Linked DNA regions of Rhinolophus ferrumequinum. The protein of the gene in region 4 purifies or fractionates together with the protein of the main gene of each other region. This does not show direct contact. Links are inferred from orthologs where the notes say so. Each region holds a gene or a part of one and is shown on either strand. Other genes may lie near its edges. The genes, in order: PPP2CA, MAPK1, GRB2 and OTUD5.

The links.
Region 1: the proteins of OTUD5 (region 4) and PPP2CA purify together in Homo sapiens (affinity purification with mass spectrometry, with the first as the bait; 3 studies listed by BioGRID). This does not show direct contact. The link is inferred for Rhinolophus ferrumequinum from reciprocal best matches to the Homo sapiens genes OTUD5 and PPP2CA.
Region 2: the proteins of OTUD5 (region 4) and MAPK1 purify together in Homo sapiens (affinity purification with mass spectrometry; 3 studies listed by BioGRID, with this or other methods). This does not show direct contact. The link is inferred for Rhinolophus ferrumequinum from reciprocal best matches to the Homo sapiens genes OTUD5 and MAPK1.
Region 3: the proteins of OTUD5 (region 4) and GRB2 purify together in Homo sapiens (affinity purification with mass spectrometry; 3 studies listed by BioGRID and IntAct, with this or other methods). This does not show direct contact. The link is inferred for Rhinolophus ferrumequinum from reciprocal best matches to the Homo sapiens genes OTUD5 and GRB2.

What each region holds. Positions count from the first base shown.
Region 1 is NC_046307.1:10,228,777-10,236,084, reverse strand, and holds the start of PPP2CA (serine/threonine-protein phosphatase 2A catalytic subunit alpha isoform), read left to right. Parts: upstream 1-4,296; 5' UTR 4,297-4,756; coding exon 4,757-4,858; intron 4,859-7,308. UniProt on the Homo sapiens protein: Catalytic subunit of protein phosphatase 2A (PP2A), a serine/threonine phosphatase involved in the regulation of a wide variety of enzymes, signal transduction pathways, and cellular events.
Region 2 is NC_046308.1:22,851,372-22,858,477, reverse strand, and holds the start of MAPK1 (mitogen-activated protein kinase 1), read right to left. Parts: upstream 3,014-7,106; 5' UTR 2,779-3,013; coding exon 2,660-2,778; intron 1-2,659. UniProt on the Homo sapiens protein: Serine/threonine kinase which acts as an essential component of the MAP kinase signal transduction pathway. MAPK1/ERK2 and MAPK3/ERK1 are the 2 MAPKs which play an important role in the MAPK/ERK cascade.
Region 3 is NC_046304.1:50,382,533-50,389,375, forward strand, and holds the start of GRB2 (growth factor receptor-bound protein 2), read right to left. Parts: upstream 3,013-6,843; 5' UTR 2,807-3,012; intron 1-2,806. UniProt on the Homo sapiens protein: Non-enzymatic adapter protein that plays a pivotal role in precisely regulated signaling cascades from cell surface receptors to cellular responses, including signaling transduction and gene expression.
Region 4 is NC_046284.1:85,709,508-85,717,517, reverse strand, and holds the start of OTUD5 (OTU domain-containing protein 5), read right to left. Parts: upstream 3,002-8,010; 5' UTR 2,470-3,001; exon of another isoform or gene 2,391-2,469; intron 2,289-2,390; 5' UTR 2,015-2,288; coding exon 1,421-2,014; intron 1-1,420. Other genes in the region: KCND1 (potassium voltage-gated channel subfamily D member 1), read right to left, coding at 7,256-7,487. UniProt on the Homo sapiens protein: Deubiquitinating enzyme that functions as a negative regulator of the innate immune system. Has peptidase activity towards 'Lys-48'- and 'Lys-63'-linked polyubiquitin chains. Can also cleave 'Lys-11'-linked ubiquitin chains (in vitro).

The DNA.
Region 1 (7,308 bases), on a different chromosome or scaffold from region 4:
TCTATTGAAATGCTTTGTGAGGAGGCCATGTGAGAAGGCCACAGGAGAGGTGAAACTTCTTTTCACAAGAAAGTGGGGCCCTTGCGTAATATTCCAGAGAGTAGTGGAACACTGAACAGAACTGTTGGCTGCGTGTGCTTTGGGCCTGTGATTCCCTTAAGAGGTACTTGGTCACGTTTACTCAGACATTCTGAAGATTTTCTTTTCACGATTATAAAAGCAGTATGTTTTCATTACAGATGAATCAAGTAACTAAAAAGAAAATAAAAAACCAATCCCACTCGCCAGAAGCAACTGACGTTTAATACCTCTCATAAACATATATTTATAATACATATTTAATAAAATTAGGATTATAGCACACATGCTGTTTGACAAGGGACTTTTTTTCACTTAATAATATACTGTGAATAATATTGTCACTAAATATACTTCTATGGTAAGATTTTGGATAGGTGCAAAGTTGGTGACAGTATTTTTAAGGTTTACCTAGCCTTCTGGAATGATGAACTTTGCCTTCCATTCCAGAGAGTTTTGTGTTTTTTTTCCTGTAGTAGAGAAAAATATTTCCTCTGTAACTGAGAATGGTATCTGGATGTCAAGGACATTAGCAGGGGACGTGGTCATTTCTCTTTTTCTTTAAACTGCAGTCGCTAGGGGAAAGGGCTGTAGTATGTCTATGGCAAGTTCCTGGCCACAAAATTTTGGCCACACTTATAAAGTTCTAATTCCAGGTGAAAGGACAAAAAAGTTGAATTTTTCTGAAAATCCCAACAGAGAGCAACAGGGATAGATATCAATGAGTTGCAAACACCATCGTGTATCCTGAGTGCAGAAATCTTCTGGTAGTTAAGCAGGTCTAGTTGGCCAGATTAGGGCAGGTTTCTCATGGGCCAAGCCACTAAAATGTTGATTGCTCAGGTCTTTATTTTGGGACGTCTGAGGCATAGAAGGCCTAGATGCGAAGAGCATGTTAGCAGATATGGCACCCTTTCAGATACAGATTCTGAGCTGACAGGAGCATAAAACCGACGAGCTGTATTAATTCTTGCATTTATTCCTCAGTGATTTTCTCTCTACATAATAAGCCTTCTAAATGTTTGCTTGATGGCAAGGGAAGAGAGGGGTTTTCTTTTTTATCTACCTCTACTTCTCTTTGTTTGAATTTCCTCCCTCATTTCTACTTCACCCAATGGCTTTGTGTCTATATGATGTTTTTGATACCGTTACTTTCTGTTTCCAAAAACCACTACGTATTTCATGGCAGGCATCAAGGGGCTCTAACTGGCATTAGGATATTTAGAATCAGAGACCACTTAGAAATAAAAAGAATATTACCTAATACCTACTGGACATTTATTATATACCATATGGTGTTTTACATTTATAACTTCATTGAATTCTCAGAAGAATCCTATTATTTGGCTGTTACAATTATCCCCACTTTATAGATGAGAAAACTGAGACTCAGAAAAGTTAGGTAACTTGCCAAACTTCACACACTGAGGCAGTTGCAGAACCAGAATTCAAACCAGGTCGATCTGATTCCAGAGCGGCTTCTTACCTACACAGTTCTCCCTTCTGTCTCAGTAAGTTTAGAATTCAGGGAACTGGAAGGAACAAAACAAACCTAACAGAAGACCGAGAGAGAATGGCTGATAAGATACATCGCATTCCTTCATCATGTTTAATGTTAATTTTAATCTGTTGGCTTAGAGCGCCTATTATAAAGTTATTTGCTCAAGTTTATCTTCTTCCCACCCCACCCCATCAGATGATTTTTATTTAGAGCTATGTTTGAACATCATAGGCGACTCGCTGTATACTGAACTTGCCATCTGAGCAAAGACTCTTTCTCAAAGCATAGTTGCTTCATTCACTCTCTGGTTTTTGCCAAGAAATTAAAAGGAAAATTTTTTTTGGTTTAACTTTTTGTTCCAAGTATTCCTCAGCTCTAGAATTGAGACGGTCAGGTCCAATTAGTCAAGACCAGACTAATCACACTGAATTTTCAGATCCATTAGCTGTTTTGAGTTCCACAGAATCAGAAAACATTCTAGATTTCTTCTAAAGGAAAAGACATTCTGATTTAGTTCTATGTTGTTTATAATCATGTATGCTTTACTTCACTGCTTGAATGCTAGTAAGGCTTCCTAGAATTCATTGCTTAAGAAGTCATGGCATCTGATTATTTGGCAGGATGTTTTAAGTATATATAATTATGTCTTCTCTCCATTTTGTGATGGTAGTAAACCAAGTAATCGGCATCAAGAGAAAATAAATAATACCTACATTAATGCGAGCAGCAAGGAGCTCACAGCACCTTGGAAAAACCCACTCATTACAATCTTAGTACATAGAAGGTGCTCAATAGTTTTTAATATACCAAAGTCACATCACCTCCACCTTTGTAGATAAAAGAACTCAGGTAAAGGAAATCATATTGACCCTATTCCATATTTCAATCCTTGTGTGAGCGAGGCTGAGATCTTGCACTTGAGAATATGAAGATTTAAATCCTGATGACTACTTTGGGCAAGTCCTTTCTCTTTTCTGAGTGCCTGTCTGCTTCTTGCCCTATGAGACAGAACCAGTTCTCACAAAGGTACAGGACAACCTGAAGAATAAGATAGCCCACTGGACCTGGCTTTATAATCGTGGGCACCGAGTGATGACTTTTTTCCTCATTCATTCTACATGGTATTAACTCTTACTCCTCTATTATTTAGGGACACTAACTACAAAACGTGGCCAGATTTTCAGCGAACAGAACACTTCCCAGTCTAGTAAATTAACTATATTATAAGCCTTTGGAGAGTAGATCTAAGGTACTTTCTTGGGCATACATACTCCTGGGAGGTACAAAAGGAAAGCAGAATTGCAATTTGCAGCCTGGGAAGGCTAAGCCAGTCAGCCTGGCCAGGCAGGTCGTCTTTGCTGACGGAAAATTTTCAGTCCCTCCATTGGTTGGTCTGGGCTTCTAGGGCCTTCTCCTTCAGAGCTGCAGTGAGCTCCCTCCTCCAGGACATCATTGAGCACTTGGGTGGAACAGGGTCCACTGCTATTGGGGATAGGAAGTCTGGAAGACAGGACACCAGGGTCAACGCTTGCCTTGGGCTGTAAGGTTAAATGTCCTTTGCTAAGCTTCGCTCAGATCCTGTGGACACCGTAATCTCTCTTCTATCTATCTGCAGACCATTTTAAGAGTATTGTTGGGAGAATACAAGTTCCACCAGGGCATGGACTCCTCTCTTAGGCGTGGGATCTAGCATATAGCTAGCCCTTTACGGAGCCAAATATAGAGGGTGCCAAAAAAAAGTATACACATTTTAAGAAAGAAAAAAACTATTAAAATTATAAATAATATATACCAATAACAAAAGATAAATACAAGTCATGAATACACTTTTTAAGCACCCCTGGTATTTCTGTGAGTGCAGGAACAATGGAATGTGAAAACATATGGCAAACCTCAAGGAGATCCATAGCCAGACCAAAGTCGGACCGCAAAGTATCCAAGAATACTTTAAAGCACAGATCGTAGCTGTTTCTAACACCACCACTTGCCGTCAGGACCTATGCGTCCAGATATCTCCTTATCGCCTTCCTCTAGAAAGCAGACTAGGGCGTGCAGTTGTGTTGTGTGTGTGTGTGTGTGTGTGTGTGTGTGTGTGTGTGTCTAGAGACGGGGAGAGTGTCTCTCATTCCCAGGAGAAACCGGACTCTGAGGAGGGGCGCACACCTGTGGCGGAAGGCGACAACGGGCGAGGCTGCAAAGGGCGTGTGGAAAGTAGGTGAGGTCCAAGGTCGAGAGAGAAGCCCAAGCCTCGGCCCTGCCATCGCGCCCGACGAGACACCTAGGCCCGAGACGGGTGTGTGCCGCGGGAGTCAGATGCACGTGTGGCACTCCCCCCGGGAGGTACACCCTCCTCCGCCTACTAGTGACCTAATTACAAGGTGCCACCCAGAGACGGAGGTGGCATCCAACTGGGCTACCACTCGGCGCCCTTTCCCGCCGTCACAGATGCCAGAATCCTATGCAATTTCAGCGCTGTTGCACCATGGAGGAATTGTGGGGTCGCAATTCTCATTTCCGTGAACTGGTCGCCGTCGCCGGGTGAAGAGCCGCAAGGCAGCACCTTTGGGAAAAAGTCTCTGGCAGCTGGGAGTTCTGCTCCCGTCTGGACTGCGCCTGCGCCAGGACTGCGCCTGCGCCAGGTTCGCGCCCACACCGCGTAGGACACCGTGCTCTGGGATTAGCCCAGTTCCAGGCTGCGAGCCCCGCGCTTGCTGGGACTCGGTCTCCCTTCCCCCGGACCTCACCCTTCTGGAGGACCACGCCCTAAAAGCGAAGGTGCCTGTTACTAGCCGGCTCCATTGCGCCTGCGTCTTGGGCCCTGGTCCCGCCCCGACTCCGGTCTGGCGGCCGACTAGCGTTGGCTCTGCAGTTGCGCAGCTCGTTCGGTCTCTCTGCTACCCCTCCGCACCCCGCCGCCTCCTGACGCCGGGCGTGACGTCACCACGCCGGCGGCCGCCATTACAGAGAGCTGAGCTCCGGTGCTAGAGCGAGCGGAGGAGGGTAGCGGCCGGTGGCTGAGCACTGCGGGGCGAGCAAACAAGCTAGCGCTAACGCCGAGCAACCTCCAGTAGCCACACAAGTACCCCGGGAACCGGCGGCGGCGTGTGCGTGTGGCCCGTGTGCGGGCGGCGGCGCGGGAGTAGCGCGGAGCGGCAGCCGGTTCGGGCGGGTGGCATCATGGACGAGAAGGTGTTCACCAAGGAGCTGGACCAGTGGATCGAGCAGCTGAACGAGTGCAAGCAGCTCTCCGAGTCCCAGGTCAAGAGCCTCTGCGAGAAGGTGAGCTGCACTTCGGCTGCGGGAGCGGCCGCGGTTGAGCCCGCCAGGAAAGAGGCGGCCGTGGGAAGGGTGCAACATGGCGGAGGCCGCCGGCCCGGGCCCCCTGAGCCTCCCAGACCTGCGTCCGGCTTGGTGCGGCCCCGCGGCGATTCCCGGGCGACCCGGCGCCCCCTGCCTCCCGCGCAGGGATTGGATGTCGCCGCCACTGCCGCCTAAAATGGCGCCGTTCACCCAACTCCGGGGCTTCGGAGCCTCCCGGCCTAGGTGTCGGGCGGGGTGCTGTGGGAACTGAGACCCTGTGTGTCAGGGTTGGGGACGGTTTTGAGAGCCGAGTAAGAGGACTTGGGTTCTACGGCCTGGGAATGGGGCTTGAGACTCTACTGTGAGGTGGCTAAGAGGCCTTTTACTTGTGTTCGGGACGAATTTTCAGCTCCAAAACTATCTAGAGGATCCCCCAAAAGGCAAGCAAGCTTGTAGGCCAGATCCCAGGACCTGTCTAAAGGTCATACAGCATTAGTACTATCCTGGGTGGTTGGGGCTAAACACACTGAGCAGTCTTTTCCAGAGACTTTTTTTAAAGCGTGTTTCTTAAGAATTTAAAAATAAACCTCTAACCTAATGTCTACGAAGGTCATGGTAAAATATAGGGAGGAGTAGAACTTATTTTTCATAGTTGGAAGAAATGGAGAATTTGGTGAGTCATACATACTGCCTAAGGAGTTTGGGGATTGGAAATCAAGTGTCAGTTTAGTCTCTGATTTATATGCTGACTCAAGTTGGGTAGTGTGAAACCCTTCTCTAAGCTTGGCATTTTGCCATTTATTTTTTAAATGCAACAAAACCAGCAAATTTTGTATCCTGGCTCTTCCTTGGAAAAGTTACTCGTTTGTATTTTTGTGGCTTTAAGTAGTAATAGTATTAATAATAATAGCTGTCTATTGAGCCTTTCCTGTATCCGAGACTTTGTGCTTAGTGTTTAAATAATTTATCTCCCGTGTTGAAAATGGAATCTTGTAGTCCATTTAATAAGTCCATTTTAATTTCCGTTTTCAAAATTAACTTGGAAGCATTTAATTTTTAGTACAGGATTGTGGGATATCGTATTAGAATTTTGTATTAGTAAAGAGAGTTATTAGCAACTATGCTGACTCGTTTGTGGTTAGATGTGAAAATTAGGTTCATGGGTTTGGTGTATATGCTCCTAAAACAGGCTTTTTCGGAAACTATACTGTAGATTGCAATGTGACTCAAACTCACATTTATTTATCCCAAGCCTGAACAAAACTCGCCTAGTTGATGAGGTGGCACATTATCTATTAAAGCTTCGTTGTAATGGTAGCAATATGTTGAGTCTTGTGCTTCTTGACCCTTAATTCTACTGTGTCAAATGAGGATAGTGTTTATTTTAAAGGTTCAGAAATAGGCTTTAAAAAATTATTCAGTGTATATTATTAGGTCTTAGGTGCTTTACATGAAGACTTTGAGTCATTCGTTGGGTAGGTGACTAGTCATTTGTGTAGAAAATATTGGAAGAGAAGTAATGATGTAATTGGAAGACTGACTGCAAGTTCCACCTGTACACTAGAATTCTGCCACAGTAATTGACCTTGGAGCAACCACTTCACTTGGTCCACATTTTCTTGTCTATAATAATAGAGTTAAAACAGAAATCTGTTCCAGGGTCTCTTCTAATCTGAAATTATACAATTCCATTTTAAATTTGTACTTTGTGTTTGTATTGAAATCCAAGGTTGCTTACTCTTATGAGGGGAATGGAAAGCAGCACAGAATAATTTTCTCAAGGAGCCTGAATCTAGTTGGAGACCAGTAGATGGACCACAGTAGTGTAGAGGGTTTGTATTGGAGACTATAGAAGATAATATTGCATGGTAATTTGGATTGGCTGAAGCTTGGTGCATCTGGTAAAAATGTTCATTGTTTTCCACGTCTTTGAAAAATTAAGATGTAGTGAGATTAATCAATTTATTCTTGGATCTCCATTGTTAATCCAGCGTGTCTGGATTTCAGTTTTTAGAGCCAAAAAGATGGAAGTAAGATTGGAAGTTAGGTTTCCAAGAAATGGATCCTTTTGGGGGGGATATCACACAGCCTTCATACTTTTTTTAACTCATGAATATTTCAACTTTTGGTATTAATCTCCCAAACTAAATTAATTTGAAGGCAGTTTTTTAGGTATGTGGGATGAGTTAGCATACATGACTTGAAATTATCTTTTCTACAAGTCTTTCTAGTAAAACAAAAGTTCTCTTTTCACTGTTAATATTTGTATGGTCAGTAACACATCTGGTGAAAGCTACATATTTTGAAAATCTCGATGGGAAATTTTTTTTTCATTAGTACAATAGTTCTTTTTTAAAAGAAAAGGTACTGGTTGGAAATAGCTATTTGGTAATAATTGATAATTTCTTTGATTATGAGAAAGAAGGAAG
Region 2 (7,106 bases), on a different chromosome or scaffold from region 4:
CCGCACTATTAATCAATATTTATTAAATGCTAATAATGTGCAATGTAGATTAACTACTTACTAGCGTATATCATCAACATGAAATCAAAAGCTATAATCTGGACCCAGAATTCTAATTCCAATTGTATTTGTATTTTATTCAGGAAAGGAAAATCACAGTAAGAGGACTAGGCCTGATAAGAGATTTAGAAGGTCAAACAAGTCTACAGCAGTGATAGAAAAGTTACCACACCTAAAATCATCTTCAGACTAGTAAAAATCCTATCAGAAAGGGGAAAAAATCCTTTCAATGAAATATCCTAAGATTTTTTCAGTCCATATTTCTTAAGATTTTATTGGGGAAGGGGAACAGGACTATTGGGGAACAGTGTGTACTTCCAGGACTTTTTTTCCCCAAGTTGTGGAGGGTGCCGTTCAGCTTCAAGTTGTTGTCCTTTCCGTCTTAGTTGTGGAGGGCGCAGCTCAGCCCACCATCCCTTGCGGGAGTCGATTGGCAACCTTGTGGTTGAGAGCCCGTGCTCCAACCAACTGAGCCATCTGTGAGGCAGCTCAGCTCAAGGTGCCAGTGTTCAATCTTAGTTGCAGGGGGCGGAGCCCACCATCCTTTGTGGGACTCAAGGAGTTGAACCAGCAACCTTGTGGTCAAGAGCCCACTGGCCCATGTGGGAATAGAACCGGCAGCCTTTGGAGTTAGGAGCATGCAGCTCCAACCGCCTGAGCCACCGGGCCAGCCCTTCAGTCCATATTTTGGATGCTAATTTTTTAAAAAGGGCCGAAGGATGTGATGGGCAATTCTGAGCCTCTTATAGTGAGACATGTTTACTGGCATACTTAACCAGCAGGTGCAACAGCAATCAGATGTATGACAGAGAAGTGATGTTGTGGGCAGTATTGTTTCTCCGTTACTTCCTAAGGCTTTTCTTTCTTTTAGGCCTGACCTAATTTAATTTCTCTATTGGCTCATAAGCCTCTGAGTTCACGTTCATTTTCATAGTTGTATACCGTGCAGCATTTTGCTCCTGAACAGAATGAGAATACTCAAGATTCAAGTAGTCTTTCTTTAAAAACACAATTTTAACTGGTCTTTTTATCTAGCTAACATATTTGGTAAACTATGCCCTCTATGTTTCTAAAATTATGATAATTCAAATTTGAATGTGTTTCTGAAATAGATTTGCTCATAACAAAATATGCTCAAATTCTAAAACTAATACCGTGTTTCTCCAAAAATAAGACCTAGCCAGACAATCAGCTCTAATGTGTCTTTTGGAGCAAAAATTAATATAAGACCCGGTCTTACAGTAAAATAAGACCGGGACTTACAGAGCTGACTGTCCGGCTAGGTCTTATTTTCAGGGAAATGGTAGTAACACTATTTAAGGATAGCAAGATGTAATGGAAAGAGCTACAGCATTTGAATTAGGATCTCAGTCTACACTCTCAAGTGTGACTCTTTAATTGTATGACCTTAGAAATTCGCTTCACCTCGAAATACTTTCTCACCTGAAAGACAGATATCACCACCTTTTCCTCCCTCAAGGTGGCTCTTCAAATAAAATGAGATAATGTACCTAACAAAGTACCTGCCACTTAGTGTTCAATAAATGTGTTTGCTTCCTTCATTCAACATAAAAGACAAGTCACAAGAAGATTTAGGTGTAAGGGAATCTACACTCCCACATGTCTCCATCAGCATAAAACACTAGCTAGTTGGTTCTAATAAAAATAATATCGTCACCCGCGTTCCCCGTTTCCAAGGGATATAGATTAAGATGAGGAACCCTGCACGTAACACTGCAAGACCTCCATTAAGGCTGCATATATACTAACCACTAAAACATTAACTGAAAAAGACCACAGTAATTGTTCTTTAACGTGTGGATGTATTTATGCTGGTAAGAGAGCTCACTCGGGGTAAAGAAAGAGAGTCAAATTAGGCCCAATTCCAAACGACTCTTTAATAAATCAGGAAAACGTTGTTGGCTTATCCTTCCAGAAACACAAACAGCACGATATTAAAATCCATTTAAAAACTTCAAGATTGAAATATTACACAACACTGGTGCCACTAATGCTTTTTAGAAAGCCTGCGCATTAGAGCACCATTAGTACCACTGAAAATATTTAATGAAAGCCGTTCGAGGAAAACACAGGCGAGAGAAGGAAAATAGATCCATTTCGGTGTTCTACACACAAGACGAGGCGAACCGCTTTCACGATCCCGGCCGCCACCACCACCGACCCACAAGCATCTAAAGGAATTCCCGGCTTTACAATCGGATGTCAAAAAGAAGACCACCATGCTGGCATTAGGGGGAATGTGGGGGAGGCGCTTCTGTTCCCTTCCTGGGGGTCCTGACTCAAAATCCGCGCTGCGCCGGAGCCCGCAACACCCGGGATCCTGGCCTCCGCCCCCCGCGCCCCTCCCGACGGCGAGCGAGGGCCAGCCCGCGAAATGCCGCGAGCAACACCCAAACCTCCACCGGCCCCAGGGCCCCGCCCGAAGCCCCAGGGGCGCGGGCCGCAGCGAAGCCCAAGGTTGGGGGCGCGGCGGCGCGGGAGGCCCAGGCGCGGACGAGGCCGCGGTTGCGTCCCCTGCGGCCCCGAAAGATGGGGTGGGCAGGCGCGGCCAGGCCTGCGGGCGGGCGCGGACACTCACCACACCATGCCGTAGGCGCCCTCGCCGATGTACGAGAGATTGGTGTAGCGCGGCCCCACGTCGAACACCTGCCCGCGGACCATCTCCGGGCCCGCGCCCGCCGCCGCCGCCGCCGCCATGTTGGCTGCCGGGCCGCCGCAGCCGCCTCCGCCGCGCTGGGCTGAGCTCGACGCTCCGCAGCCGCCGCTCGACCTACGCCGCGCCTCCCGGAGGGACCGCGCCGCAGCTGGTGCAGCTGCTGCTGCTGACCGGGAAGGAGCAAGGAGGGAACCGCTCCGAAGACCTGGAGAACCCACAGCAACCCAGAACGACTGATTGCCTGACTGACTGACGGGCGGGCCGGCGGGCGGAGGGAGGGGCGCGCGCCGAGGAGGGCGCCGGGCGGGGCCAAGCAGCGTGCGCGAGGATTAGCTCTCCGCGGCCTAGGGGCGTGGCTGCGCGGGCCGAAGGAAGCGGCGAGCTCAGGGCGGAGCTCCGCGGCTGAGCCAGCCGCGGCGCCCGCGGTACTGCCGTACGTGGTCACGTGCTATTGTGGCGGTCGGGGGGGAGGGAGTTCTGCGCAGAAAGTGGCTCTTGAGAGGCTGGAGGTATCCGAGTTGTTGGGAGAGAACCCAAAGGGGTGATCCTAAGAGACGGGCAGGGGAAAACCCGGACCGGGGTCCGGATTAAGCCTAAGAGCGACCCAGGGCAGCGTGTGAGGGACAACGACCCGCCACACACCGGCTGCAGGCCTGGGCCCGGCCTGTGCTAGTCTGTGGCCCACACACAAACTTAGAGACCTTGAGACCAGGACAGAAACCAAAAGGCATGACCGGGACCGAGAAAGACATTTGCATACTGAGAAAGTATGAAACACAAAGGTGGCAGGATCCGCTAATCAGACAGAGAGGATCGCTCAACAAGTGTTCGTTGGGTACCTACCAAGTTCCTGGGCATCCACCCCCATACAAGTTACATTCTAGAGGGAGAAGATGGACACATTTACATATATATGTATATATATATATATATATATATATATATACACTAATTACTCAAGTTGTGTGGTAAAGGTCTGAGATGTTAAGTAAAGGGTGCTATAAGGAAACAAATTTTACTATAGGATAATTGATATAAACAAGAGTTAAGTTCCTACCGTGGCCAATCCATGTTATTTGAGGACCTGCTGAAGTAGGTTGAGACGCTTAGAGAAAGACACAGAGATTCAGAGAGTGAGACCTAGATTGGTACAGAGGGACAGAAACTTAGAGGACATACTGATAAATACAAAGATGGAAACGCTAAACCCAAGCATCAAGAACTAGGGAAAATGAGACATACACACTGAGGCTAAAAAATAGTCACAAACAACATAGGTTGAAAAATAAAAACTGGAATCCTGAAGCAGTTGAAAGCCAAGAATCGCTAAGACGAGACAAAATGATCCAGCCACTGCTTCTGAACCATTTCCTATACTATCTTTGAACAGAGTAAGGGTGGAAGACCTTGCATCCTGATTGTCCAACACTGTGGTCTTGAAAGCCGTCAATGCTGGACTTCCAGACATCAGCAAAGATCAACTAATCTATCTCAAAGGTGAATGAGCAACTTTTTAGAAAAGCCCTGTGGGAAAAAACATATGTGGCACATGAGAAAAGAAAGTGCTAGAGCCAAAAATTAGTACTTTGAAATATATTTAGTTCATGAAGCAGAATTCAATTTTAGAAAACACCTAATTCTTATTCTCTGTTTCAAGAGGACATTGCATCTTTTAAAAACAGGCCAAGATAAATGGAGAGTAATATGAAACTAAAACCACAATAACCAAAGTAAAATTCATTGGTCAAAGCAGTAAAGAGCAGATTTGACAATACAGAAGAACAAATCAACAATATTGAATATAAACACAAGAAATATTCAAAGTGATGGAATTCTGTAAGAGAGAAGAAAATGGATACAAGAATATCATGGAGATTCAAACTATAGGCATCCCCCAAAAGAAGACATAACAAATCAATAATTAAAGTTATAATAAAAGAAAACTTGCCTTAGGTGTAAAAAGATCTGAGGTATAGGTAAAAAATTGAGTGAGTTTACTGGGATCCAGAAAAATTAATCAGCAGAAACCAACTTTAAGACATAATCTGGAAATCTGGAAAAATTCTTAAATTTCAGGGGTAAAGAACAAGCAGTAAGAGAATCCAATCAGAGGGGGGGAAAAGATTATTTACAAAAAAGCTAAAAACTAGTTGTCTTCAGACTCCTCCTCTGTAATAATTAAATGCCCAAAGGAAAATGGAATAAGATTAATAGCACTCTGAGGGGGTAGGTTAGAAACCTCCATGGATGGTTTCATTCCCTCCAATGCTTTAATTCCTCCCAGATCTTTAACCATTACTCAGAATATCTCTCCTGAATTCCAGGTCAGCATGTCCCTCTGGACAGACCACATGACATCCCACAGGTGCTTCAATTCCGCATATCCAAACTGCCAATGGTTAACTGCACGCATTCTGCACTCACACTTCCAGAGGGTTTGAGTCTTGGCTGCTCCACATACTACCTGTGTGACCTTGGCCTCAGTTTCCTCACTCTTCAAATGAAAATCACAATAGTATTAACCTCATAAATTTGTTGTACAGACTAAATAAAACAGTATACATAAAGAGCCTGGCACATAGTAAGTATCCAATACATGTTATGTTATTATTATCTACCCCACCAAACCTGTTCTTCATCTTGTATCTGTGGATAGCATCATCTTCACCCAGATACTCAAATTGGAAGTTTGGGTATGATCCTTAACAACTCATTTTACCTCCCTCTCATCCCTTCCCCCCATCCAAACAATCACAGACTCCTGTAAATTCTATTTCTTTAATATTTCTGAAATAGTCACTACTCAAAACATGGTCTCCAGACCAGCAGCATCTCAGGTCCCTCTTCAGACCTACTGGATCAGGATCTGCATTTTAACAAGATCCAGGTGGTTCGTACGCATATTAAACTTTGAAAAGCACTGTTTTAAATGTATGCACTTTATTCCCACTGCCATTCACCTTGACTCTTCTGCCTTCAGTGTTGCCCATCTCCAATGGCTTCTCCTCATACCCAGGTAGTCTTTCCATAACAAAATTGACCATGTCACTCCCCTTCTTAAAGCAAGTCAGTGGCTCCCCACTGCACTCAGACTGAGGTCTATGCCGACCATCCCTCCACCCCAACTCCTTTTACTCTGCCTTCCATGTTCCATACTAATCTCCCTCCACCCTTCCAGCGTTTGTGGACTTTTTAAAGCCACCACACTATCATGGCATGATGCACCTGATCACTAATTTTCTCCGGAGAACTTCTCTTGCCTGGCTCCATGCAACCTTATAATTAGAGTTTAGCTTTGCATGTGGTTTTCTGACAGGGAAAGTGCACTGACCAGAGGACAGCACTATTCAGGTCCTCTGGAGATTACTATTCATTCTAAGATGGGATTTACTTATACATCAGTCTCTACTGAGTCAGATCAGCATGATACAGGCCCAGAGGGAAAGGTTATCTAGCCTCAGTGACAATAACAAACTTCTGGAAGCACAAAGCTGAGAACTAGACTCACTGAAATAAAACTAAACTACTATCAAAGCATAAGACCCTAGTCAGATGGCTAGCTGGCCACCTGAATGTCTTCCTTATTGTCTCTCTAGAGTGGTAACAATTCACAGATTTTAGAAAACAATGGCCATCTCTTACTTTTGCCTGTCCAGCATCAACTCCTCCTTCTGGTAGCACAACCAAATTTTCTGTTGGTGAACTGTCTTCTGTCTCTTCTGCACTCTTGTGAGCAAGCATGTGACCCAGGGCTCCCCAATCAGAGTCACAGATATTAGTTCAAAGGATGCATGTGTGACCTGATCCAGGACAATGACACTCAGTCTTTTTAAGAAACAATTGGGGGGACGGCCCGGTGGCTCAGGCAGTTAGAGCTCCATGCTCCTAACTCCGAAGGCTGCCGGTTCGATTCCCACATGGGCCAGTGGGCTCTCAACCACAAGGTTGCCAGTTCAATTCCTCAAGTCCCGCAAGGGATGGTGGGCTCCGTTCCCTGCAACTAAGATTGAACACGGCACCTTGAGCTGAGCTGCCGCTGAGCTCCCGGATGGCTCAGTTGGTTGGAGTGCGTCCTCTCAACCACAAGGTTGCCGGTTCGACTCCCGCAAGGGATGGTGGGCTGTGCCCCCTGCAACTAGCAACGGCAACTGGACCTGGAGCTGAGCTGCGCCCTCCACAACTAAGACTGAAAGGACAACAACTTGAAGCGGAATGGCACCCTCCACAACTAAGATTGAAAGGACAACAACTTGACTTGGAAAACAGGCCTGGAAGTACACACTGTTCCCCAATAAAGTCCTGTTCCCCTTCCCCAATAAAAAAATAAATAAATAAAAATAAAGAAACAATTGGGAAGGGGGTGCTCCCT
Region 3 (6,843 bases), on a different chromosome or scaffold from region 4:
GGGAGAAGAGTCTTGAGAGTGATAAGATAAAGCTCTCTCTGCTCAGCTCTGTGAAACCATTTCGACATGTGATGTATGTCCCTTAAAGCAGTTGTAGACCTCACCTCAAGGACTTGCTGCTTCGGCTATTTGAAGACAACATAATTGGTTTGGGTTGTTTCTATAACGTGATAAGTGAGTCCCACAGACCGTGCCAAAAACACTGCTACTCCCTTGTATACTTATCAATAAAAACCTCCAGTCGGCTTTGTTCTGGGCTCCAGTCTTTCAGAACTGTGAGACCCCTGGCCTTCTGAGATTTAACTGCATTAAGTCTCTGTATGTTTCTTTCTTAAAACTTAACCCAAAGCTGCCCCTTCTCGTACCCTCACTGCCCGTGTTGTGCTGGACGCGACAAGACAGATTACCAGTCCTATTAAGTATAAACTTTAAATTGGTCCACCTCACAATTCTAACAATGCTCAAATATTTACACATATAAAAACTAATCGCGTCTATAGTCACTTATTTCTATTAGGTTTTTAAATATTTCCTTTGTATATACAGAAAGTATAATTTTAAGTTGAGGAATTTAAAGCCACACTCCAGTCTCATGATTTTATGGTTGTGTTCTGTAACAATACTTTTGGTCCTTGGACCAACTGCATCAAAATCCCCCCTTTTAGAGACTGATTCACTGTGGGGTGCCTTCTGGAATTCTGCAGTGTAGTGGTCTTAGGCCCAGAAGCTAATTTTAAATAAGATTCACAGGTAACTCTTGAGCATGCTACATTTTAAGAATCACTGGTGTACTATAAGGTGCCTTCACCAGATTTTAAGCTTTGCATTCCAGATAATGCACAATGTCTTTGCATAAAACGAAAAAAATGCATATTCACATACTCACTTGGCACAACTGGGAAAAAGCCAATTTTCACAAAGAAAGCCAAAGACTCTCAATGGTCATGCAGTAGTGCCAGAAAGTTCTGAATTAAGCAAGTAACTATTAATTTCTCTCGAGAGCATGTCAGTCTCTATTCTGTATTACTTCATTTCTACAAAGTCTATTACTCTTCTGCTCTACGTAACAATTAGAACTGCTGCACACATGCAACATAATAGGAATTACTAAGAAAAATCTCTAAGTACCATCAACTAGCAGTATTTAAAAACCCAATAATCCCTCAAATCTGAATACACCTGCTGAGGAAATGAACCGCCTCAAGCATTTAAATGATTGCTTTTCATATCAAAGAAAGCCGATTACAAGAATTAACTTTGTTTTTTATTTGGGGATTCAGAAAATTTTGAACAAGGGAAGGGGCAGCAGAACAAATAAATCTATGGTTGGTTTTCGTTTTTTAACCTAACCACCCCCCCACTAAAAGCCAAGTCATACAAACCCCAAATTGACCCACTCTTACTAATATAAAAGAGACAGAGAAAGAAAAGTGTGAGCAGGCACAAAAGCAGGATCTTAAAATGAAGAAAACAACTAAAACACAAATGAGACAGGCAAGCTACACTTGTGACCTAGTGGCAGTATTGATTACTCACGGATGAATTCAATCCTTTGAGCCTCCCAGTTCCCAGGGGGAGAATTTAAGTCTCGCATGGCTCTCTAGCAATCCTTCTGGCAGACTGAAAGAACACAGTGGACGCGTAAAAGGAAAGGTTAACGCAAGAAAGAGGGTGTCTTCCAAGAGACAGAAAACAGAATCTTTAAATGAAGGAGAAAACGAACTGCTCCAAAGAGCAGAAACCTCGAAAAATTATGCCAGCGAGGGGAAAATAATGAGGAAGGGAAAGTAGATTAGAAAAAAGGTGGGGGAGGGGGCAAGTGACTTGCATTACACAAGGCAAGCACTTAGCGTCCGCAGTGGAATGAAGAGAAGTACATAGAAAAGGAAGGCAACAACTGGAGAAGTACAAAGTCAAAGAGGCACGAGAAAGCCTGAGACGAATGCTACGTAATTTCTCTCGTGGGTCTTCTCGATCCTTTTCTGAGACTCACCACTACCAACAGACCTCGAGTGCATTTCAGGTCCTCTGCAATTTGTACTTTTACAGCATCTGAAGCCAGCCTAGAATAGCTCCCTAAACAAGCTATAACTCACAGGGATCACAATCACATACGATAAGCGTTGCAAATGAAAAACAGTGCTTCTCTCGCCTCTCGCCCTGAAATCTTTCCTCGAAGCATTCCAACCAACTGCTGATTTTTCTTGACGAATATTTTTCAGAGAATCGTTCAAAAAGGGGGAGGGGAGCCGAAGTAACGGCATCCTGACTGGCTCCGGCAGCAAACGTTCTAAGTCATGGTCTTAATCGGGTTGGTGGGTTCCCTCCCAAAACTCGGCCCAAAGACACCAGGAGATGGTGACGTGGTGCCCGTGCAGGTCGAAGGAGCATCAATCACCACATTTGCAGCCCGCAGCGAATCCCCCGCCTCCGGGCCAAGTCAGACTGACTCACAGAATGAGCACTCGCTGCTGTCGGACTTCTCCCAGATCCCTTCTGCGCAAACCCTCAAGAAGATGGCATGAAATTTAATGAGGAGCCCCTGGCCTCTTGCTCCGGGGTCAGTGGGTCGGTCCCGAGCCCAGGGCTGGGGGAGGATGGTCCCCAGGAAGGAAGCGCCCCAAAAGAGGAAACGTGGAGCTCGGAGCCCCGGGAATTCCGCTCCCGCCCCAGGCCTCGCCGCCCCGACCCCCAGGCCCGGCAGCTCTCGGGAGGCTGGGCCGGGTCCCTGCGGGCCGACTCCCGCTGCGGAGCGGGGAAGAAAAAGCACCGGAGCAGCAGCGCCGCCGCCGCCGGCCGTACTCACCGTGGCGTAGCTGCTCCGCTCCGCGCCCGGCCGGCCCCTCCGCAGCGGTGCGAGCGGCCGCCAATTCTGCTGCTGCTCCCCGAGGGCAGCGCCTGTTCCCGCTGCTGTCACCACCACAGTCTTCGTCGCCGCCGCCGCCCGGTCTCTGAAGCAGCACAGCCTCCTCGCTTCCGTTCCTCTTCGGGGTCCCGCGAGAACTTCCCCGCGCGGCCCCGCCCCGCCCCCGCGAGACTTCCCCCAGCGGAAAAGGCCCAGAGCGCAAGCGCTCCTCTGCTAGGCCCTCGCAGGTAGACCTAGACGCCAGGGCGCAGGCGCCAGGCCGCCCCGCAGCAGGTGGCACCCGCACGGCTCCGCCCCCGAGTCGCTGTAACCCGCTCGATGCCGGAGCCGGTAAATTACAGCTCAACCCTGAAGGAATCACTCGTATGCACACCCTAATCACTTCCCTTCCCCTTTCACCAAATCAAAGCAACTGGGGGAGCGGGGCAGAATCTCCTCCTTGCATGAAGCACCCCAAATAGGTCTTGAAATACTTGAGAATCTGGTCCAAACAAACTCAGCAACGTTAAATGAATTAATAGAGTCGTTCATTGATTGAATTAAGGACCTAATATGTGCTAAGCACTGTGTTAGGTATACAAGGTACAAGGAAGAACAGAAATCCTGGCCCTCAAGGAATTCACGGTCTAGAGGGGTGGAAGAAAAGTAAACAAATAATGCCACAAGTATTGTTAAAATTATTTGGGGAATGCTAGGGAAGCTAAAAGAATAGGGGGAGGGGTCGCCCCTGGGTCCATCTCAGAAAAGCCTTCCCAGAGAAGATGCTGTGATGTCTGAGCTGAGCCTTGGAGGATGAGTAGGAGTTCGCCAGACAGAGAAGAAGGGGTGAGGGCGTTCCAGGGGAAGGGAACGGCACACAAGTACAAAGGAACGGAGGCGTGAGAGAGTCGTGTTCTGAGCAACGCTAAGTAGTTTGATTCCCGAACCAGGCGGGGTGAGTACGGGGGAGTGGCAGATAAGGCTTGAAGAAGTAACTCATTTTTCAGTTCCAAAAGCTCTTTCCGATTAAAGGAGAGGACAGAACGCATCTAATGGTAATGTGCTCTCTGGAAGCCAAATAGCATTGAAGTGAGAATAAACAAACATTTGCTTCTATAGAAAAAAACAAGCCCATCGAAATAAGGAAAATGAATTTTCTTTCACCAAGTATTTATTGAGCATCAACGACACGCAAGGAGCGATGCAGGGTAACCTGGCAAAGCCACTGCTTCCAGCAGTTTGTAATCTAGAGGAGAGTTGCCTAGACTGCAAGGCAAAGCAGCTGGCCCTGAGTGCCACTGAAATACTTAAGGGCTGAAGAGGAGGGAGCCAGTTACTTGGTACTCAGGTAATCAGGGAGGACTTGGTGTTTGATCTGCAACATGGAAGCAAGGAGGAAAGAGTGGCTGAATCAGCCAACATTTCAGATTGACTCGAGTTTAGGATTTAGGGGGAGGAGTAATGAGAGACAAGGCCAAAATGTATCGCTTAGGTTTTGTTGGCAAGTGATATGCGACTTCAGAAGGTCTTTAAGCAGAAGATGTCTGATATGATGTGAAAATAACAAGAGGACCGTTTATTTACCACCTGATGTGTACTAAAGTAACTGTGTTTCTACAGGGTGGATAATATCCCCATTTTACAGAGTCAGAAACTGAGGTTTAGAGAGGTTAGTAACTTACTCAGGGAAACCCAAATATAATAGACCCAAGATTTGAACCTAGGCCTTTCTTGTTCTAAAAACCATATTTTTCCTACTATCGTACTTCGTTTTAGAATGATGGCCAGAAAAAAAATAGAAATGAAAGGGAAAGACTTAGCTGCTGAGCTGAGAGGAGGAGGAAGTGAGGGAAGAGTTGCAGTTCTTTCTTTTGAGTGGGGAGAATAACAGAGAAATTTGCCAGTCAAATGGGTAGCTGATAGGGTAAGGGTGTGAGAGGGGATTAAGAGGAGGTCTGCAGGGAAGGGGCAGGTGAGGAGACGCTGATGCTCCTGTTTTGGAAATGCAGAGTTAATCGTTCCAGGAGAACATGAAGGTAGAAATATCCAGCATGCTGTCGAAAAGCTCACTGCTTCCATTTGTTCCTGCCACAGCATTAAGTGAGCATCTACTCTGTAGAGAGCGGGATAACCCACCACAGAGCTCGCAGCCTAAAGAGTAAGACATATTTCTAAGAATATGGCACCTGTAGTACTGGCAGCTTTGGAAACATACAGCAGGGGACCTGACCTAGACCAGGATCAGAGAATGCTGAGGAGGGAGGTTTAGGCTGAGACCCTGGTTAGCCTAAGAGTTAAAAAACAGTGTTTCAGGAGAGATATTTATCATCGGCAAGGTAATGTTTCATGTCCTTTGCATGACCCTTTAGGATCTGGCCTCTGCCTGTCACCCCCACCTCTCAGGCTCCAGCCAACACATACTCCACCAATACTAAACTACTGTGGTTTCCGGAAGGGGCCATGGTCTTTTGAGTGTCCATATCTTAGCACATGCAGTTTCCTCTGCTTAGTTGGCCTTCTTCCCTTTCTTTAGGCCCCCAACTCAGTTTTAAGGTTCCTTGCCCCAAATTCCCACTGTACCTTCACTCCCCACTCCCATCCCACCCCAAGCTCTACAAGCTCCCAGACAAAACGGACCACACCTTTTCACATTTGCATTTCCAGCCCCCAGCACAGTGCAGTGCAGGGAGTGAATACATGGATGGGTGGATGAGCAAATAAATAACGGGTTGTGGAAAGATAAAGACGAGCTGCCTTTCTGTTCAATGTGATATTTGAAGCTAAGGAAGTGGGTGAGATCTCAGAAGAGACTAAATGCCTAAGAGAACAGAAAAAAAATTATGCACTTCCTTTTAAAATGCAACATTGATAAAAACAGACTCTGAGCATGTCTGTGTAGAGATATATGCATATGGACCAGATTTGGAAGGGAACATTTAAAAGTAAAAATACTACCAAGTTTCCCCGAAAATAAGACCTAACCGGAAAATAAGTCCTAGCATGATTTTTCAGGAGGACATCCCCTGAACATAAGCCCTAATGCGTCTTTTGGAGCAAACCTTAATATAAGACCCGGTCTTATTTCCAGGAAACACGGTAATTGTGTTGAAGCAATTGTGGGTGACTTAAAAAACCTCTTCAACATTTGTTATGTTGTCTTTTCGATTAAAAAATTATTTTCTGCAGGCACAGACTCAGAAACCTGAGAGAACCCTTCCCAAGATCATTTCCATGCAGAGAAAATAAACACAATAGAGGCAGTAATATTTTGAATGTGTGTATGGCTAATATCTAATACGAAAAGAAATTAGAGTTAAGAGGCAAGTTGTGAAGTAAAAGTCACCTTGGTAATGAAAACCTGTTGTAACTGTAGCAAAACTTGCTAGTGACAAACTGGCCACATCAATCACTTCGGAATGCACAAATTAATCATCAAAAAGTCTCTCTTTTCGATTGGGGTTTGCGTTGCAAAGGGTTTCTCCCTTTGATTTCTGTGAGTTGTGGTGCTGCCGCCTGCCGGTAGAACTGGACATTGCCCTGGAACTTACTGAACCTTGAAAGCTCATAGGAAACTGGCCTAACAGTTGCCCTGACCCTGCCTTGGGAGCGGCCTCAAGACCATCTCGGGCACATCCTTTTAGCCCACATTTCTGAACTTCTAGTTAGTGAGAAAAAAACCAGCCATCCAGTGATAACCTAAACTTGGTCATTTGAAATCCTACTCCCACCTGCTCCATTGATCCTGGAAGTTTTCCTCTTAGAATCTTCCTTGCTCAAGCTGTGAGCCAAGACTGCATACACCTCTCAGGCTTCGAGGGTGACTTCTGAGGCTGCGCCTATTAATGGGACACCAATTCCTGTGACTTCCCTTCCTCTACCTCCTGACTCCATTTTTATCACCTGACCAGGTGCACGCCACCATCCTTCCTGGAGGGCTGCTCTTGCTTGCCCACTGATCAGCCTGCCCACTTTCAGGTCATTATAAACACTGCAGCCAG
Region 4 (8,010 bases):
GTACGTATGGCTCTCTTGTCCTTGAGGGAAAGCTCCAGTGTCCTTGGCACAGTGGGTCTCCGGCCCTTGCAGACAGGCTTAGATCCGTGGGGAGCCCTCAGATTCCACCTCTGGGACTCCATGCTGCCGATGTCCCTGAAGAATGGTCTCAGGGTCAAGTTCCCAAGGCAGAAATCTTACGTCCCTGACGAGCTCAGGCACTTGTCAGGGGGAGGGAGGGGACAGTGCTCAGATCTATTTCAAGGGGAGAGGGGGCTATTAAGTCCCCAAGATGTGTTTCAGTCCTTCATAATTGGGGCAGAAGGACCTCATGTGTGTGTGTGTGTGGAGGTGTCTCAGACCCCCCCCCCCAAGGAGAACACTCAGACACCAGTCCTCGAAGAAAAAAATCTCCTAAAGACTTCACCTGGCCTGAAACCTCTGTGGGGGTATCAGACCCAGTCTCTGGCAGCCCCAGTCCTTAAGCAGGGGAATCTTAGGGTTCCACCATCCAAAACAGTGAGCCTCATTTTCTTGAAGAAAGGCTCAGGCCTGGTGGTGGTGGTGGTGTTGGGTGGGATGAGGGAGAGGGGCCAAAGGTCTATCACTTAAAAGAAGATTAAGCTCTGGGAGATTCAGACTCTTGTCACCAAGGAGTTCTCAAGATTACTGAGAGGAAGCATAGACCCTCGTCACTTACAGAATGAGTCTCATATACCCTAGTAGAGTCTCTGGTCCCTGGATATCTTGGTCCTTGCCTTCAGGGGAAGAGAATCTTACCTCCTCAAGATAAGTCTTACATCCCTGGAGAAAAGCTCAGAAGATCTCTCTCTACAGGGGATGTGTATGTGTGTGTCAGGCCCTTGATTTTAGAAAAGTGTCAGACCCCACTGCTGAATGGTCCTGTGCTGTGTCCCCGAGGAGGTGGAAGGGTTGTCCTCTGCAGAGTATCTCAGACCCCTGAAAGGGTTTGGTATCTTGGGAACACTAAGATATCTGAGGTCTCCATCTTACTTGTGTTCCCTGGAGGGGGACTCTTAGATTCTTATGTCAGAAGAAAAGAAATCTCAAGCCACTGAACACAGACTCTCTCTTGGAGAGTCATGAGACTCCCTTCTCAGGAGGCATGCCATTCTGCCTCTGTCTCCTGGGGGGTTCCCACCTACTGGACCTACAAGATGAGGTCTCAGGACCTGGAAAAGACCGCAGACCCCATCTTCAAGTCCTTCGTCTTATCTGGGGCCTCTAACCTCAAGTCCTCGGGGAAAAGGAGTGGAGAAAGAGGGTGTCTCACACCCCTACCAGCAGAAAAAAGTGTGTCAAGATTCGGGAGAAGGCATTTAGGTCCCTTGGGGAGATCTTAAACAGCCTTTCTTGGATCGCTACCCAGTCTGGGGATCCCACCCACCATAACGGCTCACCTGTCGCCCCCAGCTCATACCTGCTCGACAGTGGCAGGGTCCATCGCCTCGATGCGTGCTGCTGCCGCTTCATACTCGTCCTCACTGTTGTAACCTGCGCCGACCTCCTCGCGCTCAGGACTGCCACCGCCAACCGCGCCAACCCCGGGGGCTTGACGCCGCCGCTTGCTGTGGCCGGGTCCGGAGCAGCAGCTGCCCACGCCCACCGCGCCGCCCACGGCAACCACCACGCCCGCCGCACCCACACCTGCAGCCGATGCACCCAGCGCGTCACCCGGACCGCCGCCGGGACCGCCGGGGCCCCCACAAGGAGGAGGAGAGGCCTGCTGTGGCCGGGGGCCCGCCACGGCGCCGGGCGGCACAGCCAATGCCCAGCGGTGAAGTGCACCCGGTGGCCCCGGTAGTGGGCCCTGAGGCGGCGGTGAGGCCCGCGGACGGGCCCCCACGACGCCCGAGTCACGGTCACGATCGCCGCCGCCCACGCCCGTGCCGCCGCCGCCCACGCCCACACCCCCGCCACGGCGCGGTGCCGGGGGCAGAGGCCCGGGCGGCGACGGCTCGTTGGCGGGGTCGGCGTCGGGAGGCGGCGGTTTCTTTTTGGGGAGAATAGTCATGGCGGCACCGACAAGTACCCCTCAGCAAACGCGGCGCGCGGCACGCCGGGATAGAACCCGGATGAGGGGGCTACTGTGATGCGCGAAGCACGACGGGATCGCCGGGAGGACCCGGATAAAGAGATTGAAACACGGGTTCAAGAATCGTCGGCGGCGCGCAGGTCACGCGACAGGAGAACCCGGATGTGAAGTCCAAGGTGAAGGCAGCGCGGTGAGTTCGTCGTCGCCTTCTCTCCGAATTCGGCAAGTTGATTGCTACGCTCGTTCCGGCCTTCTGCTTCAAAGGAAACAGAACCAAAACAAGCACCTCTTCGCCCCGCCCCCTCGCAGGTTCTTGAACTACCGGGTGGGGCCCTGGGGCACCGCGCACGCGCACCAGAGCACAGCCCTGCCTCTCGCTCGGAAGTACGTGGGCAAAAATCTTCACCGCCGCCACAACAATTACAGGCACCAACCAATCGAAGCGGCTGCGTGGGTCCTCGCTGACGTCCACGGGCCAATCAGAAGAGAGTAATCGCCCTCCTGCGCCCTCCTCCGTCTCGGATTTCAGTCAAAGTCAGCACCCTGGGTCCTGGCCTTCTCCTCGGCGTCGTTCTGCTCTTGACTTCTGTCCCCGAGGCTCTGACTCGCAGGCGGAGGTACTGTGACAGGACAGCGTGGCCTGCCTTGTGCAGGACAGTTTTAAAAGCACCTCCCTCCCAGGCTCCCAACTTGGCCGCTGTCAGTGGGACTGACAGGAAAATAACACTCCCAGAGCCTAGAAATCCTCTGAAGCGTCAGTTCCGGTCCCACCCACCTGCAAATCCACATCAGTGGAGGGGCGGGCTCCACTTCACCCTGGCAACAGGCGGAGTGCTGCGGTGATTGGTTAAGAGATGCCCTCACTCGCGTCGGTCGGACGAACCTTGGGACAGACGAGCACCGTGGGGACAGTGGGTGTTTGGGAAGCAGACACGCCCTCTTTGGCAGCGCGGCACTCTCGCCCTCCCGTTGACCTCCCCGCCCTGTGGCTAGTGCGCAGGCGTGGCACAGCCTTTTCCTCCCTTCAAAATAACTGTTTACCTGGATTCAGCGAAAACTTTATAAACCTGGGCGGCCGGATAGCCCACTTGGTTAGAGCGCCAGCTCTGAACAACAGGGTTGCGGGTTTGATTCCCACATGGGCCAGTGAGCTACACCCTCCACACCTAGATTGAAGACAACGAGCTGCCGCTGAGCTGCGGGAGGGGTGGCAGGATGGCTCAGTTGGGTAGAGCGTGAGCTCTCAACAACAGGGTTGCTGGTTCAATTCCCGCGTGGGATGGTGGGCTGAGTCCCTTGCAACTGAAAAGATTGAAAAAAACGGCGACTGGACTTGGAGCTGAGCTGCACCTGCCATAACTAAGATTGAAGGACAACAACTTGGAGCTCAGGGGCCCTGGAGAAACACACTGCTCCCCAATATTCCCCAATAAAAAATATTTAAAAAAAAAAACACTTTATGAACCAGCTTTGTCAGCAGCCAGCATCTCACAATGGTAAAATCCCTGCCACTCAGCAGCTGGAGAGATCTACTAGCTAATCCTAGCTCTGCCTCTCCTTGTCTGCATGATCTCTGGCAAGTTATTTAACATCCACCTCATCCTCAATTTCTACTTCTCTGTAAATTGGCCACGATTACTCCATTGTAAGGATTAGAGATTCATGCTTGTAAAGGGCCTGGTGCTGTTCCTGGCACATAGTAAGTGCCCAGTAAATTAGTTGGCATGGTGGTGCAACGGAAAGGATCCCAGGCTTTGGAGTCAGGAAGACCTCAGTTCCATGCACAGATGGACCGTTACCAACTGTAGGACCTTGAGCATAACACTGTCTCAAAGTTGAGGTTACCCATGTGTAAAACGAGAATAATGCCTGCCCATGCTACCTCAGGGAGTAGTTATGAGGTTCTGAAGAGCTAATAAACCAAGGTGTTGTGAGAGGTGAGGGTTCCCTACGTCTTAGGAGCCAAGACATTACAACCAGTGGACTGAAAGAGAGCCCATCAGAAAGCTCTTCTGAGTGCCACCTAACCTCCCTTCAGATGCCAACCCTAGTTGAAGTCTTCCCTGAAGGGTGTCAGTAATAAATTAACTATCGTGTTTTCTGTTTATGAGACCTACGTAATGGGAGACGACTCACATTAACTGTGCCTGTTTTGTTCAGGGCATTGTGCCCAATGCCTATGCATGTTATCACATTGGATCTTTTCATGACCATTTCACTCAACCCACATACCCCACTCCCTACTGGATATTTCTCCAGCACCACACATCTAAAACTGAACTTATGGGTGGCTGGTTAGCTCAGTTGGTTAGAGCGTGCTGCTGGTAGCACCAAAGTTGCCGGTTCGATCTCTGCTTGGGCCACTGTGAACTGCGCCCTCCTTAAAAAAAAAAAAAAGAAAAAAAAAGAAAAACTGAACTTATGATAATAATTGTAACTCATCATCACTAAGTACTTGCTGTGTGCCTGGCACTGTGATGTTCCCTTTGACAGTGAATGGCATCCCCACTGAGCTTTTGCCCAAATCAGAAACCTAGGAGTTAGCCTTGACTGCTCCCTCTTCTTCAACTCCAAGATGCTTGTCAGTCCCAAGCCCTGCCGATTCTACCTCTCAAATCTCGAGTCTCCAACTCTTACTGCCACTACCTGGTCCAAGCCACCATCACCTACCAACTAGACCACTGCAAAAGCCTCCTCACTGCGCTTCCTCCCTCCAGGACTATTTCTCTAGAATCCACTCTCCACAGCCAGAATGATCCTTTTGAAACACAAACCTGATGATGACTTTCCTGTTTATAAGCCTTAGGAGGTCCCATTATCCTTAGGATGCAATCCAAAATCTGTATCCTACCTTCAAAGGCCTTTTGTGATCTGGCTTACCTCTGCATCCTTACCCTAACCACAGCCTCACACTCTCCTCTGCAGCTCTGCTCAACTAATTTCAATTCCCCAAAGGCCCCAAGTTCACTCTAACCTCCGGATCATTTGTACATGCTGTTGCCTCTGCCTGAAACGTTTTCATCCTTTCGTCTTTTGCCTGGCCAACTCCAGCTCATTCTTTGTGTGACATTCTCCTGCTTCTGGGATGCATAAACATCATAAATTTGTTACCAGTACGGAAAATTTCTTGTGCCTTGTATCTGTGCCTTGTGTTTTGTAATTATTTGTTACATAAAATTTCTTGTACCACAATATGTTAAAAAATAAATGCTAGGGGGTGGCCGGTTATCTCAGTTGGTTAGAGCCTGGTGCTGATAACACCAAGGTTGCCGGTTTGATCCCAGCATGGGCCACTGTAAGCTGTGCCCATCTTAAGAAAAAACAAAACTAAAATTCCTTTATAATACAAAAAAACAAGTACCTAAATGTAAACAAATAAAAATTTGAATTAAAAAAATAAAACAAAAGATTTTCCCCCCTGAAAGTTTGGGCCAAAAACGTGGGTGCACATTATACATGGAGTGCATTATACATGGCAAAATATGGTAATTCTCTTTCCCAGGGATTGGAACCCAGGTCGACCTGAATCCAAGGTCTGTCTTCGTGGTGCTCCACACAGCTCATTCCCACACTAGCCTCGTGTACTCAGTATCCCAGAAGACGACATATAGGGGACATCCACAAGGAAGGGTAATTTGCCACATTGAGAGATGCTTTTCATTGGGGTTCAATTCAGAATAGTTTGCTGTCAAGAAGCCTGTGTTTAAGTCTCCCCTAGCCAAGCATGTGCTGCTCTGGGTCTCAGTTTCCCCATTTATGAGTGAGGGGGTGGGAACAGATGATGTCTAAGGGGACATATCTCAGGACCTTCTAACCTGCCTCACTGGCTGGAGATTCAACTCTTCAACCCCTCGCCCCTTTTTCATTTCTCCTAGATCCCCATCTTCCAGAACATGTCACCAGCCACCCATCTCCCATACCTTTACCCACACCAGCCCTTCTAATAGTTGAAATCAGCCCAACCCAGCCCCCAAACACACAGAGCCAGGAGGTGCTCATCCCCAGCTCTCCTCTCAGATTTTATTGACTGATGGAAACTACATCTCTGTCAGCCACCAGCTCCTCAGGGACAGTGTTGAGGACAGAGAACCTGAGATGATGCCAGATATCAGCCTGAGAGCACACACAGAGTTCCGGAAGGTGACCCAAGGGGGAGAAGAGAGAGGGATATGTGAAAAGGCATTGTGGGGGAGGAGGAAGAGGACGAGGAGGAGGAGGAGAAAGAGGAGGAGGAGATCAAGAAGCTCCCCCTGCCTCCTACAACTCCCAGAGTTCAAGAACAACCCAGGCTTCAGCGTTCTGGACTCCTGCCCAAGAACAAGGAATCAGCCCATGAGCTCCAAAGCCAGCCCAGCCCTTGCTGGCTGCCAGGTGCTTATCTCACCCAGTCCAGACTCCAGCCCAACCCAGGAAGGAAGCAAACCAGAGGAGCAGAGACAAGGAGGAGTATTAGAGGTGGCCCCTCTGATTAGGGCAGATGTATATACTGCAGCAAACTGGGCAGAGGCTTTGCATAATGTCATGGCAGCAGCTGCTATTGCTAGAGTTTGCTGGGGGCCCAGCGGAGGACAGGGTTGTGGGGACCCATTTCCAGCAGCCAGGGAAGGGTGTAGTGTTTGTGCTATCTTTGTGTGTGTTAGGAGAGGCAGCCTGACCCTGAGCCAAGGCCTGGGGGTGGCAGGTCACTGCTGAGGCCACAGCCCATGAAGCCTGTGGTTGCATTCCAAGCTTCAGAATCTGGGAGTTGTTGGGCGTGGTGAAGGGTGGGGACCTCTCCTAGGGACCAGATCAGAGGTGATGTTTCTCTTCTCTGAACCCCCAAATCGCCACAGCCCAGCCAGAGAGAAGAGGAAGTCTCACCTCTTCGTCTCAGGCCAGAGCTCAGATATCAGGTGGGAGCCTGAGGGCCCGAGGGGAGGAGCATGCAGAAGGCCCCCTGGGAGAGAGGGCCTGGTCCTAGTGTGTTGGGGCAAGGAGGCCAGCAGCCTGAGGAAGCCCAGTGATTCAGCTCCCACCAGGAAAACTGTCTGAGGTGGGGAAGTGCCCCATTCCCTGGCTACGTCCCCACAAGGTGGGTGATTCCATGAAACTCCATTGCATAGTTCTCAGTGGGGGGCAGAAGGGGTCCCCAGGCCTGTTGCTGCCTGCCTCCCCAAAATATGGCTTTGGAAAGGAGCCCTCAAGAATCAAGAGGGCCCTCTGGATGGGCAGGTCCACCCCTCACAGGGAAGAGATCTTGACAGTCTCAGGGAGGAAGCAAGAGGTACCCAGACTGGAGTTCCTGAGGGTGCTGCTGGCCCTGCCACCACCACTGCCACCAGGGGAGGAAGGTCGGCTCTCATCTGGGGTGTTGGCAGGAGGGGTGGGTATACTGATGATGGCAGCCACGAAGTCCCGGCTGTCGCAGTTCAGGTCAAGGCTGCCATGGGGCTTGGCATTGAGGCTTGAACGGCTGTGGATGGAAAGATGGAAGGTTCTTAGAAAGTCATCTTAATACTTGCCACAGCAATCATGACATCTATTAAGTGCTTACTGGGTCGCTGGCACTGTGCTAAATGCTTCCCCTGCACCCTCAATTATGGTGGTACAGGGTAAGGGCTCTGGAGTCAGAGAGTCCTAGGTTCAAATCCTGGTCCCACTCTTACCACTCTAAATCTCTCTTTTCTCTCATCTGTAGCATGGGGATAACAATACGGTAGGTCCTCACTTAACAGGGTCAATATGTTCTGTGATTTTTAACTGAAACGACATTTAAGAAAACCAGTTGTAGCAGAGGCTAACTGATATAAACAAGGGTTATGTTCCTAGGCATTTTATCATCAACATGATAAAAAAATGACGTTATTTAAGGACCTGCTACATTTCCTATGTCATAGGGTGCTTGTGGAGATTAAATGAGATAACAGATGATACAAAGTGCTCAGAATAGTGCCTGGACCGTAACAAGCGCACACACCAAAAAAATGTTGTTACTC